Linked DNA regions of Macaca mulatta. The protein of the gene in region 1 purifies or fractionates together with the protein of each later gene. This does not show direct contact. Links are inferred from orthologs where the notes say so. Each region holds a gene or a part of one and is shown on either strand. Other genes may lie near its edges.

Region 1 (3,752 bases):
GTATCAGGGTGCAAACTATTCAGGGTGCAAAAAAGTCATGGTATCTGTAGCTTATTCCCAAGTGGTCAGCAAAAAGTGTGTATTATAGAGCATGGTTAAGCAAATATGGTAAAATGTTAACAATCTGTGAATCTAGGTGTAGGGCACACAGGAGTTCATTTTACTAATCCCATCATTTTTCTCCAAGCTTGATCCTTTCCCATAATAGAGTTTAAGAGGAAAAAAAAAAAAAGGTTACTCTTACCACAGATTTGGTATCCGTGCTATGGAATAATTTGCAGTGTTCCACAAGTCCTTCCTGATCAAAGTTCTTCTCAGGACAGTAAGGACAAGGAAAGGTATAACGGTTTGGAACATTCCTGGAAGGTGAAAGACAGGAAAAAAGAAAATTTTTCTGTGAGTACCTTTCCATTCAACTTCAACCACAGTACACTCCCAAAAGGAGCAAAGCTCACCGAATGTGTAACGACAAGGACGCTGATGATCACTTTAGACTCAGATCAAGTGTTTTGAAGACAATAGCTCAGCTAGCCGGACATGGTGATTCACACCTGTAATCCCAATAGGCCAAGGCAGGAGGATCACCTGAGGTCAGGAGTTCAAGACTAGCCTGGCCAACATGGCGAAACCCTGTCTCTACTAAAAAATATAAAATTTAGTCAGGATTACTGGCAGGTGCCTGTAATCCCAGTTACTCGGGAGACTGAGGCAGGAGAATCTCTTGAACCCGGGAGGCAGAGGTTGCAGTGAGCTGAGATTGCGCGACTGCACTCCAGCCCAGACAACAGAGCGAGACTCCATCTCAAAAAAGAAAAAAAGAATAGCTCAGCTAACATCTGAAGTGAACACCAGAGTCCTCCCTTGCATACTCCTCCCAAAATACTTGTATCAGCTTTAGCCAGCATAACAATTCATACAACTAAACCCCTGACCATGCAAGGTGTCCAACCTCTTTGTATTAATAGCAAGAGATGACCTCCACCTAAGGGGAGACTGAGTCATTTACCTTGGCTGAAGAGATGCATCCTTAATGGTGGCCTTCACACCTTCCATGATGTAATTCTGGTATTTGGAACAAGTAGCCACATGGGACCGGATCTTGGATAGGAAGAACTCAAATAGGAAGAATCAGAGCCCACAAGTTAGTGAGGACCTTGTAACAGGCCAAATGTAGTCCCAAACAAGGGCGCAAAGAAAACTAGACCTACACCACCCTGGCAAATAATCTCACCAGACTCCTGACTATGCTGATGGGGCTGAAACCCTGATTATTGCAGATTTCCCATTAATAACAAGGCTGCTATTTTATTTGACTAAATCAGGATATCCGCTTCCACTCTAAAATAACTCTTCTAGAGGTTTGCTCCTATTCATGACAGGCTGTGTGCTCACAGACAAGTTCCAAATCTAGGATGTTGTTAAAAGTTTTCTATACTAGCATTTAAACTAGTCTCCTTATAGCAAGCCAAAAACCACATTCTGTTATGTGCAGCAGAGAAAAGTGATCATTTAGGTAAAACGTATAAAAGCCACCAACCCTGATTAAAGTATCAATCACCAGACTCTGAGAAATAATCTTTAAAATCTAAATTTTTTTTTTTTTGAGATGGAGTCTCACTTACTCTGTTGTCCAGACTGAAGTGCAGTGGCACCATCTTGGCTCACTGCAACCTCCGCCTCCCGGGTTCAAGTGATTCTCCCACCTCAGCCTCCTGAGTAGCTGGGGTTACAGGCGTGTGCCATCATGCCCAGCTAATTTCCATATTTTTAGTAGAGATGGAGTTTCACCATGTTAGCCAGGATGGTCTCGAACTCCTGACCTCAAGTGATATGCCTGCCTTGGCCTCCCAAAGTGCTGGGCTAACAGGTGTGAGCTACCATGCCTAGCCCAACCTTTCACATAAAATCTAGGCTGTGCAATAGTAAAATAGAAAGAGAAGAAAACCCAGAGAATAATGCTTCATTACAGGTTTTCTAAAAAGAAAGAAAGTTTTAAGAATTGAAGAAAAGAGGGAGGAAAGAAAAACATTTTTAGAGGCATGCCAACCATACAATAACTGATCTTGAAAATGGAGAAAAGCAAAAGCACACAGTAAAACAAACAAAAAGCTCATCATGGGTGGAGCGTGGTGGCTCACACCTGTAATCCTGAGGGAGGCTGAGGTGGACCATCACTTTGCACTCCCAAGTTTCAGATCAGCATGGGCAACATGAAAACTCTGTCTCTACTAAAAATACAAAAAAAATTAGGTGGGCGTGGTGACACATGCCTGTGGTGCCAGCTACTTGAGAAGCTGAGGTGGGAGGATGGTTTGAGCCAGGGAGGCAGAGGTTGCAGTGAGCCGAGACCACACCATTGCACTCCAGCCCGGGCAACAAAGCCAGACTCCGTCTCAAAAAACAAAACAAAACAAAACAAAACAAAACCAAAAACCACATTATGCATGCATAAATAAAGATGAAGAGACCGGGTGCAGTGGCTGACACCTGTAATCCCAGCACTTTGGGAGGCCGAGGTGGGCGGATCACAAGGTCAGGAGATCGAGACCATCCTGGCTAACACGGTGAAACCCTGCCTCTACTAAAAATACAAAACAAAACAAAACGAGATATATACATATATATGTATACATATATATATCCGCGCGTGGTGGCAGGCACCTGTAGTCCCAGCTACTCCAGAGGCTGAGGCAGGAGAATGGTGTGAACCCAACAGGCGGAGTTTGCAGTGAGCCGAGATCATGCCACTGCACTCCAGCCTGGGCGATAGAGTGAGACTCCGTCTCAAAAAAAAAAAAAAAAAAAAAAAAAAAAGGCAGTAGGAAACTGTAATTCAGTATCTTGAGTTTCTAAAAGTAAACTTCAAAGGGGGAAAAATGCTCCAAGATTGGAGCTCCAGCTTACCATGATGATTGTCTCACCTCCAGCTAAAGAACTTGACTTTAAGCTACAAACTGAGGAATCCCCAATTTTTTTTTTTGTAGAAACTGGGTCCACTATATTCCCCAGGCTGCTCTCAAACTCCCGGGCTCAAGCAATCTTCCCACCTCAGCCTCCCAAGGAGCTGGGACTACATGCAGACACCACTACACACAGCTAGTTTTGTTTGTTGGCTTGTTTTGGTATATACAGTGTCCCACTATGCTGCCCAGACTGATTTCGAACTCCTGGGCTCAAGTGATTCTCTTACCTTGGCCTCTCCAAGTGATAGGATTACGGGCATAAGCCACCATGCCCAGCCTCAATAGTGAAGCCCCCAATTAAGATATAGAAAATAGCCCTATTCAGCATTAAAATGGTCCTACTATGCATCGCTAATACTAAATCACCCTGAAAAGGAGATGGTAAGGTATATTCATACTATGGGCATCCATACCGAAGTGTTAAAAAATAATGAAACTGACATGCAAGGCTGTCCAATATGTAAGAGAAAAAAAAAACTGAAAGTGAAAAAAAAGTTGGGAATGAATGTACATTTAAACAAGTGAAAAAAGTTGAAGAAACATATATATTATAGTGTGATCTCATTTTGCAAAAATTCTACAACTGGGTTGGTAAACATTCTACAGTTTTTACCAACTTTTGGTAAAAATTTGTCAAAGGGCAGAAAATGTTATGTAGCTTTCGAAACTGAATCACTTTTTTTTTCTTGAGACAAAAAAAAGTCCAGCTCTATCGCCCAGGTTGGAGTGCAGTGGTGAGAACTCAGCTCACTGCAATGTCTGCCCCCTGGGCTCAAGCCATCCTCTCAC
Region 2 (4,376 bases), on another chromosome or scaffold:
CTCTCCTGCCTCAGCCTCCCGGGTAGCTGGGATTACAGGCACATGCCATCACACCTGGCTAATTTTTATATTTTTAGTAGAGATGGGGTTCACCATGTTGGCCAGGCTGGTCTTGAACTCCTGACCTCAAGTGATCCACCCACCTCGGCCTCCCAAAGTGCTGGTATTACAGGTGTGAGCCACCGCACTCGGCCTAACATTTTAAATTAAAAATTAACATTTTAGGCTGGGTATGGTGGCTTACTGTAATCCCAGTGCTTTAGGAATCTGAGGTGGGAGGACTGCTTGGGGCCAGGAGTTCAAGACCAGCCTGGGCAACATATGAGACAGTGTCTCTAAACAAATGTAAAAATTATCTGGGCATGGTGGCACGTGCCTCTAGGCCCAGCTACTTGGGAGGCTAAGGTGGGAGGTTCGCTTGAGCCCAGAAGTTCCAGGTTGTAGTGAGCTATGATTATATCGTTATACTACAGCCTGGGTGACAGACCAAGACCCTGTCTCTAAAACAATAACAACAAAAACAAAATTAACATTTTATACAATGAAAACATTAAAATCACAATTAAAATCAAAGAGAAAACCCCTCATTCCATTTCTAATTAAATTCATTTTCATTCGTCCATGTTACTATCTAGTCTTTATCCATACACTTTTTTTTATTTACATTTTTGTAGTAATACTACAGGTAAGATTTTCTTTCTTTTTTTTTTTTAAAGATGGAGTCTCGCTCTGTTGCCCAGGCTGGAGTGCAGTGGCATGATCTCGGCTCACTACAACCTCCACCTCCCGGATTCAAGCGATTCTTCTGCCTCAGCCTCCCGAATAGCTGGGATTACAGGCGCCCGCCACCACACCTGGCTAATTTTTACATTTTTAGTAGAGACAGGGTTTCACCACGTTGGCCAGGCTGGTCTCAAACTACTGACCTCAAGTGATCCGCCCGCCTTGACCTCCCAAAATGCTGGGATTACAGGCGTGAGCCACTGCGCCTGTCCTATAGTTAAGGTTTTTATATTCATTTTTAGTGAATGTTATACCATAAGTACTCTTCCCCCATAATCCTTCTGCCTCTCATCTTCCCTTTTCCATTTTCCTAGTACCTCCTACTGCCTCCTCTCAACCACCCTTGCGTGTTTCTTCATCTTTCCCCGTGCTTATTAAAAAATGTCCTGTCACACACACACACAGGCTTCTCTTTGTTATTAGACATTTAAAAAATTAATTCTTGATCATTCAACTTGATTTAGACATTACTGTACAGACATCTTTTCTCGTTTAACACCACATCATGGCTGTCTGTCCCTCTAGATCCACACAGGGAGATTTAACACATGCTTAAAGTCTTCATAATAGTCTTTAAAGATTAGCCACACTGTTCCCACTTAACCCTACCTCCCAGGTAGGGTTCCCCCAGTAACACTTTCACACATAACTTATTTACTGTTCCTTTTACTTCTGGAAGATTCCGAGAGGAAAGATCGCTGGGTCAAAGGTCACGTGCGTTTTCAATTTTAATAGCTATTCCTGGATTACTTTCCCAAAGGGTTCTAACAACTCGCATTGCTCTCAACACGTGTGAGAGGGTCCTTTGCTCTGACAGGTCTTCTGAAATACTTGCTCAATCGTTACTTAGCAGGGGATTGTAACGGATTTTTTTCTTTTTCTCTTTTGAGACGGAGTCTAGCTCTGTCGCCCAGGCTGGAGTGCAGTGGCGCGATCTCGGCTCACGGATTTGTTTTTTTAAAGAACATACCCTTTTATATTTAAATGAAGGAACTCATTGATGCACCGAGGCGAAAGGAACATTTAATTAAGCCTGTCTTCCTCTGCGGAGTGATCGCTTTTGTCACTTGTTCGAGGGGTGGGGGCTCCCGTCAGTTGTCCCTGTTTCTGTGAGACGTCTACCGAAGCCCTGGCTTGGCTTTAACCTGGCTTGGCTTTAACCGCTGAGCGGCTTCAACCGGCGGCGTCCAGCTGGCTCCGCCAGCGCTGCCGCCGCCCTCGAGGCTCTCTGACTGAAGGCGCTCGGAGCATCGCGAAATTAGGGGCTCCTGGTCCCTCAAACATCCAAAGAAGCCATTTTCAGGGCCTAGGGACTGGCCCCCCGCGAGCCGCCACAGCCCCCGCCCGCGAGCCGGGCCGAACGCCCGAACTCACGAGCTCCCGAGCTCCCGTCGGGCGGCGGCCTCACAGCTGGGGGCCCTGAGGCGGAAGGCGCAGCCGCTCAGCTGCGGGCCGGGGGCGTGGCGAGGGCGCACAGGTTCTGTTTTTCGCCGGCCCGGGGCCGCTTTCGGTTTCGTTTCCCGCCGGCGCCTCCACTCTGCGAGAGCCGCCCGCCAGCCAGCGTCCGCCGCCGTCCGCGTCGAGCCATACGCGGTCCGACGGGCGCAGGCACAGCGGCCATGGCCCAGGCCGGCGTCGTCGGTGAGGTGACCCAGGTGCTGTGCGCGGCCGGGGGCGCCCTGGAGCTGCCCGAGCTGCGGCGCCGCTTGCGGATGGGCTTGAGTGCCGACGCGCTGGAGCGGCTGCTGCGGCAGCGTGGCCGCTTCGTGGTGGCGGTGCGGGCGGGCGGCGCCGCCGCGGCCCAGGAGCGCGTGGTGCTGGCCGCGTCGCCGCTGCGCCTGTGCCGCGCGCACCAGGGCTCGAAGCCGGGCTGCGTGGGGCTCTGCGCGCAGCTGCACCTCTGCAAGTTCATGGTCTATGGCGCCTGCAAGTTTCTGAGAGCCGGGTAAGGCGCCGCACCGGGAGCGACGGCCGGCAGAGGCCCCGCGCACCCACAAGCACTTCCAGCCCGCTTGGGAGTCCTACTTGAAGTTTGAGCATACAATTCGGTGGCTCTGCCCTGGCCTCGCCCCGTCATACACTAAAGGGAGCGTTTATTGAGCACCTGCTGAGTATCTGGCACAGTGCGAGGGACTCGGGGTCGAGTGGGGTCCTCTAGACGCCTGGGGAGAGAGATTGATTTACATAGAGCGCGGTAGTGCTGGGTGGGAACACCCGGGTGTGGCCGTGTGGGGTAGGGAGGTAGGGAGGCGGTGGCCTAGGGGAGCTCCACGACGCCGCGGGTCCCCCCTTGCCAGCTTTGAGAGCAGACAATGAAGGTTTTCTCTGCCCAGCAGCTGGAAGAGATCTTTAAACCCCGTTCAACCCTATTTATCTGTTTACAAACTGGAAAATGCAAGCTCCCTGCCATCGCCCACAGGTCCTGGGGCACTGGTCCCTGCCCACTCGGTACCCTTCTGTGCCTGGAACACCCCCCCCCCACCCAGCCTGGGTATTTCTGGGAGCCTGAGCATTTCTGGGAGCCTTTGCTCTGCCTGGAGTGCCCTTCCTGCTCTTGGTTGGCCCTGTTTGTTAATCCTTCAGGCCTGAATCTAAAGATCACATCCCATTTGAGGGCTTTTCCTCCCCTTACTCTTGGTCACAGGGAACTGTTTATTTTCCTCATGGCACCCACTTGCCAATAGAATGGAAACTCCCTGAGGGCAGAGGCCTTAGCTGTCTCCCCAGCACTTAGCGTCCATGTTCTGTGCATAGCACGTGGTCAGTGGGATGTGTGGAAGGGATTGCTGAGGTTTATGTCTAAGAATTTGGGCCTCACCCTGAAGGTGATGGGGCGGGTAAAATGGCAGGAGAGAGCAACCATCAGGTTTGCATTTTAGGAAGTCTTAGGTAGTGGTGTGGGTGCCAGTTTAAGGGAGGATGTTGTGGGGAACCACTGGGAAGCTAGTCATGTAGGATAATTCCTTCCTCCCCTGCTCCCTCCTTTCTTGCTTGCTCCCTGGTGTGTGTGTGTCTGTCTGTCTTAATAGAGTAGATATTTCTTGCTCATGTCAGGCCCAGCAGTGAGCATGGGGTGGGGGGCCTTAATCCATACAGTCATTCAGGGATCCAGGCTGACTGACCTCTGCTCTGTGCCCCTCAGCACATGGCTCTTGAGGCCAGCCTAGGTATCCAGTTCCAGGGGGCTGATGGAAAGGGGGTTGCATGGGAGGTTTTTGTGGGCCAGGTCTAGAAGTGGTGGATTTCCTTTCACCCACATCCCATTGACTGGAAGCTGTCTGGTGACCCTGTCTAGATGCAGGGTGGCTGGGAAAGGTAGTCTCTAGGAAGCAGCTGTCTGGAAGTATCCAGATTAGAACTTTCCAAGGGCTATGTGTGAGAAATTTGGGAGAGGTGAGTTGGTGATGGTGTGGTGAGAGGATATCAGGTGACAACTCTTCAGTCTCTGTTCCTACTGTGGCATGGGTGTTGTTCAGTGAGAGAGCAAGAGAGGGTTTTAGTTTGGAAACATGCCCAGGAGGCAGCTATTCAGGTCAGAAGCTTCATAGGAAGGTCAGGGCCCCAGTGTGCTGGGCTGGTTTGGGAGATACTGG

What was found. Proteins that work in one complex are often made in the same cells at the same time.
Region 2: the proteins of RNF114 (region 1) and PARP12 purify together in Homo sapiens (affinity purification with mass spectrometry; 3 studies listed by BioGRID and IntAct, counting the BioPlex papers as one, with this or other methods). This does not show direct contact. The link is inferred for Macaca mulatta from reciprocal best matches to the Homo sapiens genes RNF114 and PARP12.

Annotation. Positions count from the first base shown.
Region 1 is NC_133415.1:102,783,076-102,786,827, reverse strand, and holds part of RNF114 (E3 ubiquitin-protein ligase RNF114), read right to left. Parts: intron 1,114-3,752; coding exon 1,007-1,113; intron 360-1,006; coding exon 245-359; intron 1-244. UniProt on the Homo sapiens protein: E3 ubiquitin-protein ligase that promotes the ubiquitination of various substrates. In turn, participates in the regulation of many biological processes including cell cycle, apoptosis, osteoclastogenesis as well as innate or adaptive immunity.
Region 2 is NC_133408.1:179,897,293-179,901,668, reverse strand, and holds the start of PARP12 (protein mono-ADP-ribosyltransferase PARP12), read left to right. Parts: upstream 1-1,559; 5' UTR 1,560-2,402; coding exon 2,403-2,728; intron 2,729-4,376.